2 linked regions of the Arabidopsis thaliana genome follow. The main gene of each other region encodes a partner of the protein of the gene in region 2 in a complex. Links are inferred from orthologs where the notes say so. Each region holds a gene or a part of one and is shown on either strand. Other genes may lie near its edges.

Region 1 (4,834 bases), on a different chromosome or scaffold from region 2:
AGAAGATAACGAAGAAGAAGGTGAAGCGCTGCTTCATCTTCTTCCTGCTAAGTAACGGGTCGAGATTCAAATCGAATTCGAAACAGTTGAGTTTCGTTAAATTCTTCTGAAGAGAGAGATCTTTCGTATTCGTCGTCGATAGGAGACTTTTTGTCTTTATTTTTCAGTTTTTGGTTTTAAAGAGTTAAGAAGAGAAGACGAATGAAATTATTTAGCAAAACGATTAGTACCGTCGTCGTCGATATTTATTTATATCTCTCTCTACAACAAGAATAAAAAAAAGAAAGCCGAAAAAGGAAACTGATATTTTGGTTAAAAGGAAATTTATTTTAATATCTTTTTTTATATGTTGGACAAAAATATTTGTATAGTTATTGATTAGGTTGTTATTAGTTACTGACCGTCTAGATGGCACCTAGGCGCTAAACGGACTCATATGGCGATTACATCAAGGATTCTTACTTTCTTTGTCCATTCGGTATGCATGTCGAAGGCAGTGCGATATCACTAAATGAGGTTTGATGCTTTAGGTCCTAAGTTCACAACATGTCGCAGCCACCACTGATTCTGCTATTCTATACTTTTGGAGAAAACCAAGCATTTCCATAATATTTATACGACTTTTAAAACTGCATCATTCGTTATATTTATGGGAAAAGATGGTCACATGATGGTGAAGTCAGAGAAAAACATGGGAGTAAGAGACATCCACACAAAACACTCGGAGAAGCGTTTAAGATCAGACCAACCAAAACAAACAAATATCGAGACCTTCTTACATAAAGCGTGATCGGAGGAGCATCAGGTCAGGTGTCAGGCAATCTCATTTGTACAATCTCAGCTGGTGGACGCAATGTGCAAACCATTTCTCTTGTCTTCCCAAAGTAAACCTGCGCTTTTCACCAAACAATTCTCAAACCCTTGAAGCTACGCACATTACGTTATTCTTTTCTCTTGGTCTAGATTAATTCATGAGATGTTAGAAAGTGATTTGATCTAAAACTTATCCTACAATTCTCGTTTACTTATTTTGGGGTCTGCCAAGCACCACAGAACAACTGTAGCATGAGCTTTAACTAACTAAGCAATCCGAATGCCGGTAATTAAGAAACCATTTTCAGCATATATGGCGGTTACACAAGTAGACGGAGTTTGTGGAATTGGTGCAGGGATTGGAGGTAGAACCTGATCAAGTGAGTTCCTCAGTTTGCCTTCCAATTCTTCAATCATTCTCCCCATATTGCACAGGTGTCCGTCAGCTACTGCTAGCTCCATTTTCATCTAATTTCAACAGTAGCAGAATAATGTTATTCTTTTACAGATATTTGGTTTTCCTCCATTGAATCACAATTCATACCAGGAACTATTTATCTATGAAGGCATGGGCTAAATAGAAGCTAATACTTACTTGTCTTCTAATTGATCCAGATAAGCCGAATTTGCCCGAAGACTCATCATCAGTTGTCAGAGAAAGCATGATGGTACTTGTTAAGCAATATTGTGCCATTTCCTCCTCCTCTGAACCAACCTAGTTGAGAACCTCAGGCATTAGAAGCAAAATATGAAGTCTCATTAAAGAGCTGCTTAGGAAACTATGATAAAGTTGCAATTGAGGGTGGTATGTGTTACAAAATGGGCAACATTTTAAAACACATAAGGCACGCTTGGTAATGGTATGTTAAGAGAGTCACCTGTATAACATGTATGGCATCCCACGCTCCTTCCTCCAGGCATCCCCTCCGACCATGACCTGACTTTGACCCATCTTCGAAAAATAAAAACCAGAACAGCTCAGGTAAAGAGTTTTTATTGCCTAACATTCAGTGTTATTGAACTCTACAGAAAGAATGTACCTTTCTTGATAAGGAAACATGCCACAAAGCCTTCATTATCATCCTCCCACATGTAGACTGAAGATATACCACCTTCATAATACCTGGAAAAGAAAACTGATCAACACAGGTGTTCTTTTGGTAACTTTGCAAGCTTTTTTCAGTCTCCAGTCTAATGGATACATTAGAAGAATGAAACACATATCATATATTGTTAAACCATGAGATAAATCTCACGACTAGGCAAGCCTTTTTTTCAGATCAGATGCTAACTATGTCTCCGTCTTAGATAACTCAAATTACTTTCACTACATGGTTTTCATGTTGAACGAGGTAGGTAAAGAACCTCACTGGTCACGATAGATCGCAAAGATATCGTTGGCTTCAACTTCAAGCTTTCTTAATTCAGAAGATGGGTAAAGAGCATCCTCTAGCGGAGGAAGATACTTATTTGACCAAGGTGACCTGCAAAAGTAAAGATTACAAGAACCAACAAATAGCAATTTAGCTATGAACACGAAGTACTGTATCATCCCAAACCAAAGCGATCCAATATTTTGAATTTTCTCTCTACACAATGAAATAGAGCAAAAAAGTACCTGTAGGAATCTGCATCTCTATTATACTCACACAAGATGAAATCTTTCCCACTTTCAATATCACGTAACACCTGTCATTACATCACCAAACCAAACATTGGGAGATAAGCACGACTAAGGCAACAAAATCACATTTTCAAATCTCGATAAAGATAGAAAATACCTGAAGAGGGAGATCGACTTGAGAGAGAAGATCGGAAGAATGTTGAGGAATGAGGCTTAGAAGAGCAGATAGAGCCGTCTCCGACTGCTTCGGCGGCATTCTCCGGAGAAGTCCCAAAGCTGCCTCCATTTTTTTCCAACCTCGCCGGAGAAAAAAAACACTTCTCCTCTGAGAAGACGAACTAAAAGGTAACAACCGAATAACCAATCTCTTATTGTCTATTATACCCTTTAGGCCCATCATAAGGCCCAAACATTACGAGGCCTTTTACTAAGCGACGTCGTTATGAACAGAATATTTATTTTTTGCTTTCCTGGGATTATAAATCTTTTTTTCCATCGGACGGTGAATTGTTAGTCATGTCATCGATGACGGAGAAGGAGAAGGAGAGAGATCCACCACCACCACATCAAGAGATTGAAGAGACTACTCCGTTGCTCGAAAATTCTCAACCGGAAAGTGAATTGAGATCGACGACCGCGGCGGCGAAGGTTCCTGAGGTGGAGATTCATCTGTATAAGTGTGGAAAAGGTCCGATCGATGTGTTCAAGTCAAATCTCGGCGGTTATGAGCAGGATCAGCTCGAGGTTCGATCTATTCTTGAGAAATATGGCTTGAAAGCAATCTTCGCTTTCAACGTTGAGAAAGGTCGTGCTGTTCCGATCAGATTTCACCCTAGGAATGGTCGGTCTGTGTTGCCTTATAGGGATGGTGCCGTCATTTACATCGACGGTGAACCTCAGGTAATCTGATTGTTTTGATTTTGAGTTTTCACTTACGCAATAGGAAAAAAGGACAGAGAACGATCTCCTTAGCTTAGTTATAGTTCCCTACTGATGCTTGAATGAATAAACTCACGGTGAATATTGTTGCATTGCATCTGTTGGACCTTCTCTGAACGCATGATTAAGGAATAGGATAGGACCCAATCTGCTTCTTGTCTCCTTTACATGTTCTTCATACCCTTGGATTGTAGAATTACTCTACATTGGCGTTCTGCATTTAGATAAGTTGATGGTTTTCTTTTGATTGTGCTCATAAACCTCATACATGTCTCTAGACTTTCTAGGCTTCTTTACTCTTCAATTGCCCTGGAATATCAATTAACGTGGATTCGGTGTCTCATGGAACCTTAGGTTTAGGTCAAAGCTTGTATTCTTACTTAAAGTAAACAATTTCTTGGAATCACTCCTATGGCTCATAGATTTAGAATACGCATGTAGAAACTAGAATGGATGTCATGGTATTCTGACTTCGTTGGGGCGTAAAAAGTCTTTGGATAATATTGTTGCAAGAACAGAAAAAAAAAGCATTAAAACATGCAGCTTTAATTGGGTGATTCATCTGATAACACTATTAATTTGAACACCTTTTGTTTTCAGGATTCCCTGCTCAAACCCATCACCAGAATCATTCTCGGAGTTGTGATTGTTACGCTCTTAATAACATTTCTATTGAAAGACCCTCCAGCTTGGATCAAGAACAACATCTCCATTGGGACCTTTCCTCCATGGGTGCTCGCATGCATAGTTATAGTTTTCACTCGAGCTAGAAAGAGAACCAGGGACTTCTTCAAGAAGTATGGCTGGTAGTTTCGCAGACCCTAACACTCGTCTCGCTTAAAATGTGGTCGAAATTTGTAGTCTTTCATCGACCATATATATAGAGGTTCTCTTGCCTTAACCCAACAAGTTCCCTTCCTTGGCAAGACTCTTCGTCTTTGATACGCCTTGAGGCGCCAAATTGCTTGCTTTCAGAACTAAGAGAGAGCAATCATTTTCTTCATTTGCATTTTGTTGAAGTTTATAGTTTTATGCATTTCCATGTGTAATGCGATTTGGTTTTTGCCATTTTGATGGAAACTGATACTTATTTTCTAAAACCCAATAGTTTGGCAACAAGCCTGTCCATATTTAATCTCTACATTCCTCCCTGATAATATGAAAATTTAGTCTTGTAACGCATGACATGCTCAGTTTCGTACATATGTCAGATAGTGTTTCAGAAATATCTAAAATGAATGACAACATCACCCATATCGAACTTACTTTTTGGTGGTAGAAAATATTTAGTCGACTAGAGTCTGACATTTTACTCTATTAATCACGAGTACTTAGCAATCTCTGTTCAATAGATTTCAACTGTTGTATTTATTGATGATGGAATTTTTTAAAGATCAAAATTGTCTCATCCACAAAATATTGTCCATGAATTCTATAGATTAGCCTTGTGGCATACCA
Region 2 (5,553 bases):
GATCTGAAGACTATTCGTACAAAAAAATAAAAAAATAGCAAAAATTGAATGTCATTGAAGTCAATACTTTTGGATATTTTGTCATTGCATATATCAATATTTAATAAATGATTGTGTCTTGGATGATTTGAAAATTGTTCAACTTGATTATAAATAAGAAGGTGGAGGAAATGGGTAATTACGTATGCTTTTGTTTATTTTTAGACGATGGAAGATACTTAGTTGTTTGTGTGTGTATCAGGAGGAAGGAGACCATCTCTGGACGTGGAAAACTCGAAGATGATTTGCAAGAAATTTGTGAGCCTCAACTATGACTAGTGCTCATGCTTGGAACTGAAACTATTTCTTTTAGTATATATCTAGTAATTGCTAGCTTATCACTCTTTAGACATTTTGCACCATCGTTTTGGGCATGGGACCAATATCTGATCAATATTCAAAAGTGGTTTTTGTAATGACTTTAACTTAAGGATTTTAATTTAATCATGATTCAGGATATATCAGCATCGTCTTAACAAATTAAAACAAAGCTTTCTAACCGAGGTGAACACAAAATTAATGGAGGTGATTGACAATTGAATTAAGAACAAGGATGGGGACAACGCATTATCATTAAAAACAAACGTGATTAGATTATCACTACAAACGTGATTAGATTACCACCCGGGGCCTAAGACTTTCACCATGGGCCTCTATTATTGGGCTTTCCTTTCAAATTGTGCTCTCTTTTTTTTTTTTTGCTTTTTTTTTATTAACAGATTATTTAAGGAAATCTTTATCATTCATATTAAAGTTTAATACATATTTAGTTCTTTAACAGTTCCAATAACATATCCGTTGTCGTCCAGCGGTTAGGATATCTGGCTTTCACCCAGGAGACCCGGGTTCGATTCCCGGCAACGGAGCTCTTTTTGGGACCAAACTTCAATTCTTTCATGCGGCTTGCGGAACAATATCTATCATACTTACTAATGCGATTTGTATACATTACTCCAAAGGAAAGACAAGACACAACAGAAATAATACTTATCCTTCACTTACATAATGGAAATCACAGAAACTTTGACAACGAAATATAGCACTCAAAAGGTTGCGAGTTGATGATTAGTCACTTGCCAAGTCCAAGTTCTTTCTCGACCTCTCTTGTTAGGCTGAACTGTAAAGTGTTCTGCCATGGGAACAGAGTTCGTGTCACCGGAAGTTTCCTCCTCAAATCCTGCAAAATTCCATATATCTGCTCAGAAATTTCTAAATACACCTCGAGGTTACCATTGTGCAGCCACTGAAATCGTTATTTGGAAAGAGACAATTACCTTGAAAGTGTTATCCGGTAATTTTGAATAAGCTACCTAATGATTGGGTCAGATACAACGAGATTAACAACACATGAAATGGAAAAGTACGAGATAAATGAGTTGCTAATTGGGAACCTCTAGAGATGCAAGGTACTCTGTTTCATGGTGCCTGATAATATTGGCTATGGCAATCGCGCAGTCATCTGCAGACTGTCAATGGAACAAAAAATGAACGACAAGGTTATATCAGAGCCTACACATATTTGTTCCCTTGGTGTATATTATATGCTAGCCTGGCCTGGCTTGTGGTCTACATTATTGTACACAGTTTCGCAGATAAAATGAGGTACCTGAAATATTGTTGAATCTTGGAAATCTTTTTTTGCATCTAATTCCACATTTCCCTCTTCAAAATAATGAGCTCCTACCTGAAGAGAAAGTGATATACTTAAAACAAGCTCACTGAACATCAATTGGCATAGAATAACGTCACAGTCAACTTACAGAGAAAGCAAGTCGCGAATGTTACCTGCAATTTCCCTTTTATGTCAAGCACCTGGGATTCATCCTGGAAATCTATGTTCCATACAGATCTCCAACTTCCATTACTGCCAAACACCCCGGTTTGGTCACTCAAAATCATTTTTTCTCTCTAAACAATGGAAATGGAGAAATAAGTAAAAGGTCATTTTGTACTCACCAGAAGTTCTGGGGACTAAGTCTCATAGCAGTAATTATAACAACAAGCTCAAAGTCGGACCCTGGACCCTCATTATCTTTCCCTTTCACACAATTAACTGCAGACATACCTTTCGGATAAGATTCACTAACATATCTCTGGATTTCAGCATCAAGAGCATATCTGTAATGAGCAAAACAACCTTTTCAACATATGTATTCAGCAGTAAGACAAAAATAATGTAGATCACTCCAGGTTCATTGCCCTTTATTCCTAAACTTCTGAAAGTGCTTTTCTAATGTTTGCCTTTGTTGCCATAAGAACTTAGGCTACGAATATATGATAATTCTGAACTGAATGGTGATGCATGAACCTGATCTTAAATCCTACAGCTGGGTGTAAAAATCCATACCTGTACTCCTCAATATACAAAGAAGGAAGTTCTTCATCATTTGCAGGCCGTACCTTTGTACAAATCTGGTCAAAGAGAGGAGAGGTAAGCTTAAATTAGATTCACAGATCATGGCACACCATAATGAAGAACAACAACAATAAAATAATGTACCTGTTTAACATGATCAACTATGGCAACCTGGGCAGTTCTTGGATCAAGGTACTCATTTTCATTAATTTCACTGTAAGATGAGACAATCACCTGAGATTCAACAAAACAGTATTACGATATCTCGCAGCGAATAAACACTAAACAGTTTTCCCATAACATCTTCAAAAAATATGAAAAGGTGATGCAGGACTTATGTTGATTGCCAATTTGATCAACAATAGTCAGCATAAGAGTGTTGCATGTAGATATCAGTCGCAAGTTTTTAAAAACTCTCTAGGAAAGAAAAAGACACACGACCAAGACACTCAAAGCTCAAAAATTCTCAATCCAAACAGCGAAATTGAAGAACTCCTACTAGAATTTAAAATCCCTAATTTCTAAGATCGACTAATCTCTAGCCTCTTTGCAGCTAGCGAAGCAAAAACCCTAGGAAAGCAATATACATCTAAGAGAGACAAATACCACAAAGTATACTTGAGTTCTCTCCTTCTGAGTGATCCACTAAGTATTGTTCAAAGCTCTTCCCCTTTTCATTAGCCACATTTCTCTAAGAATCTTAATAGATCATGAGAATAGCTAATTCCACATAACAGAGATTACAAGTCAATAATGTTCGACAATTCAACTCCTATGACACAACAAATGAAAATTTCAACTAAGTAGAATAGAACCAGAATAAGATGCTAACTCACATCACCAGCTCCACTGGGCATTTCAAGGCAAATCATGTGAGTTTTGTTGTACACTGGAAATGCTTCCATGGCTGCTTCATTGTACACTTCCTCATCGCTCAAAACCGCCTTTAAATCTGTCAGAAGTCCAAAAGATTTACAGAAATCGAAACAAAGATGTCAAATCACGCATGATGCTCAAAACAAAACAAAATGCACACGGAGAATCTATGATCTCGCCTTCTCATTGAGGGACACATCGGAGGAATCGTCGGAAATATGTATGTACGATGCATCTAAGTACCTTTAGCGACGTAATTGATTTCTCCAGCGGGAGCGTTGAGGAAAAACCACTTGGCGATTTCCTTTTTCTGGTCGTAACTTAGTTCTGTCTCCAGTAACTCATCTTCTTCGTCCGCCATAGCTTTCTCTAGAAAAAAGTTAGCCGGAGAGAGAAATTGTCGCCGTCGATATTCTGAACTCTGTAGGGATACATTCGTCATTGCACACTCATAAACTTTCCTGTGTTGGATCGCGATTAAATCATGACCGTTCGTTTACCATGATGAATTCTGACGGTGTCGTTTTGATGTGATAGATTGTGCCACGTGGCCATTCTTACTCGAACCGCATCGTTTTTGCAGCAAATATCCCAATTTCAATCGAAACCCATTCAAATTAATTTAAGCGCATGAAAGGCATTATCTTTAGCAAAACACACCAAATCTAATCTTTAATGTAGTATTTGCTGTGATTAAAAAGGTTCGAGAAACTGGGATTTTATTAAAAGCTAATTTACAACAACAACAACGAGATAGATAAGAGTTCATGTGTGATCGAAAAAAAAAATCTAGCTAAATCTATATTAGACAAGTAAAAACATGTCCATTTGTTGTGGCCTGTGGGACTTAAACCTCATTACTAAACTAATATTCCTAACGGGAGTTTAACTTGCAAGTTATAATCCACGGTTCATAAAATACTCTCTCCAAGCCTTTAAAGGCCTACCAACATTGGCAGATTCAACCCGACTCTTGTACTCGTTCATTAGTAACCCTCTAGCCGCAAACCCCATCATCTCGGTTGAGTCCATGAGCTTCTTAATCTTCAAGCTGACCCCTCCTTCGGGTGAGACTCTCCTTTTGGGAGATCTGACAATGCGATCATCGCTTTGGCCAATCGGTTTACTACTGGGTGATGATTCTTCTGAAAATTGTGCTCCCATCCCAAATGAGTCCCAATCGACTCTATGAAAGATCTCAGCAGCACGGTCCGAGGGTGTTTTGGCATTGTGTGACATCATAGATTGTTGTTCTATATATACTCTATCAACTTGTGCTTTTAAATCGTACAGTCTTTGTCCAATTCTGGACGAAACGGCGTCATACAGGTGTTTCCTTGAGACGTGTTGGGCTCCTTCAGTGCTGAGAATGTCATTAAAATGAATAGGGTCTCCAATGATCACTGTCACCTGCGAAATGTTTGACGTAAATCAAACAGATTAAAGATTGCAAATACATAATTAAGCAATGTAATAACCTAATGACAATTAGTAACACTACAAAATGTCTGGCATTTGAACTCTATATCCTTCCATGGACAATACATATCCACTTACTCAAAATATGAATCACCCAATTATCGATAGATCCTTTCTTTCTTAAATCATTAATTCGAGATCCGATTCACTCCTCGGATCACTAAAAAGTCAAGTCCAACAAAAATTGCGAGAGGTCTTAGATCTGTATCCAAGGGCTTGCAAATCAAACAAAGCAATACACTCTTAAACTATTTTAACTCGAGGCAACTAACTACTTCTCTGAAAGTTATGGTTTTTTATTTGTTTTCTGATTTTGGGCGGAGCAGAGATCATGATGCATCAAACTATTAAGAGATCAAAAATGAAAGCTACAAACGAGGAAGAAAAAATTGGAGATTCAGATATACTTACTGTCTTGCCAATCCGTGGAACACTAGCTCCAACTGGCATTATATCCTGCATACCAGTATGCACAAAAGGAACAACCATAGGGAGAGTATCTGCGTCCAAAATCAACCTAAAACAAATAAAACTTGTTATAGAATAAAATGATAAGACACATTAAAGTGGAGTGCTTTATATAAGGGAAGTGAACCCAAATCACACATGACTCACCTTCCGATACCCCTCTTCGCTGAGCCCATAGTCTTTCCACCATCCCGGGAGCGACTGCCTTCTGGAAAGATGTGAACCCACCCTCCGTTGTTCAATTTCGAAATCGCAATGTCCATTCCCTGCAGAAGATGTGACACTTGTTTTCATCAGTAAATTTGAATATAGATAAAATAGCAGGTAACAATCAA

Evidence for each region.
Region 1: the proteins of CPA (region 2) and CPB are in contact, whole or in part, in a crystal structure (PDB 4AKR), measured with the Dictyostelium discoideum proteins. The link is inferred for Arabidopsis thaliana from one-to-one orthologs. Residues at the interface, in XP_645243.1 of Dictyostelium discoideum: Leu7, Ile10, Phe14, Asn17, Pro19, Glu22, Glu25, Val26, Asp29, Val30, Ala32, Leu33, Leu34, Tyr125, Asn127, Glu128, Tyr129, Tyr130, Pro131, Thr154, Cys155, Ile156, Tyr157, Tyr163, Ser164, Gly165, Arg166, Trp167, Val190, Asn191; in XP_647630.1 of Dictyostelium discoideum: Lys4, Gln5, Cys8, Cys9, Asp11, Leu12, Met13, Arg14, Arg15, Leu16, Pro17, Pro18, Gln20, Asn24, Gly27, Leu28, Asp30, Leu31, Val32, Ile103, Phe104, Ile106, Tyr107, Leu110, Tyr111, Phe112, Glu113, Lys136, Thr137, Gln138.

The regions. Positions count from the first base shown.
Region 1 is NC_003070.9:26,994,758-26,999,591, reverse strand, and holds CPB (Subunits of heterodimeric actin filament capping protein Capz superfamily), read right to left. Parts: upstream 2,788-4,834; 5' UTR 2,724-2,787; coding exon 2,595-2,723; intron 2,503-2,594; coding exon 2,432-2,502; intron 2,298-2,431; coding exon 2,184-2,297; intron 1,937-2,183; coding exon 1,854-1,936; intron 1,766-1,853; coding exon 1,692-1,765; intron 1,529-1,691; coding exon 1,409-1,528; intron 1,282-1,408; coding exon 1,186-1,281; intron 891-1,185; coding exon 807-890; 3' UTR 525-806; downstream 1-524. Other genes in the region: AT1G71780 (WD repeat protein), read left to right, coding at 2,954-3,337, 3,977-4,186. UniProt on the Arabidopsis thaliana protein: F-actin-capping proteins bind in a Ca(2+)-independent manner to the fast growing ends of actin filaments (barbed end) thereby blocking the exchange of subunits at these ends.
Region 2 is NC_003074.8:1,596,690-1,602,242, reverse strand, and holds CPA (Subunits of heterodimeric actin filament capping protein Capz superfamily), read right to left. Parts: upstream 3,633-5,553; coding exon 3,515-3,632; intron 3,348-3,514; coding exon 3,232-3,347; intron 2,630-3,231; coding exon 2,540-2,629; intron 2,452-2,539; coding exon 2,387-2,451; intron 2,158-2,386; coding exon 1,996-2,157; intron 1,904-1,995; coding exon 1,825-1,903; intron 1,724-1,824; coding exon 1,646-1,723; intron 1,506-1,645; coding exon 1,431-1,505; intron 1,350-1,430; coding exon 1,314-1,349; intron 1,217-1,313; coding exon 1,113-1,216; coding exon of another isoform or gene 1,109-1,112; exon of another isoform or gene 1,032-1,108; coding exon 806-1,031; downstream 1-805. Other genes in the region: AT3G05510 (Phospholipid/glycerol acyltransferase family protein), read right to left, coding at 4,169-4,681, 5,162-5,267, 5,366-5,484. UniProt on the Arabidopsis thaliana protein: F-actin-capping proteins bind in a Ca(2+)-independent manner to the fast growing ends of actin filaments (barbed end) thereby blocking the exchange of subunits at these ends.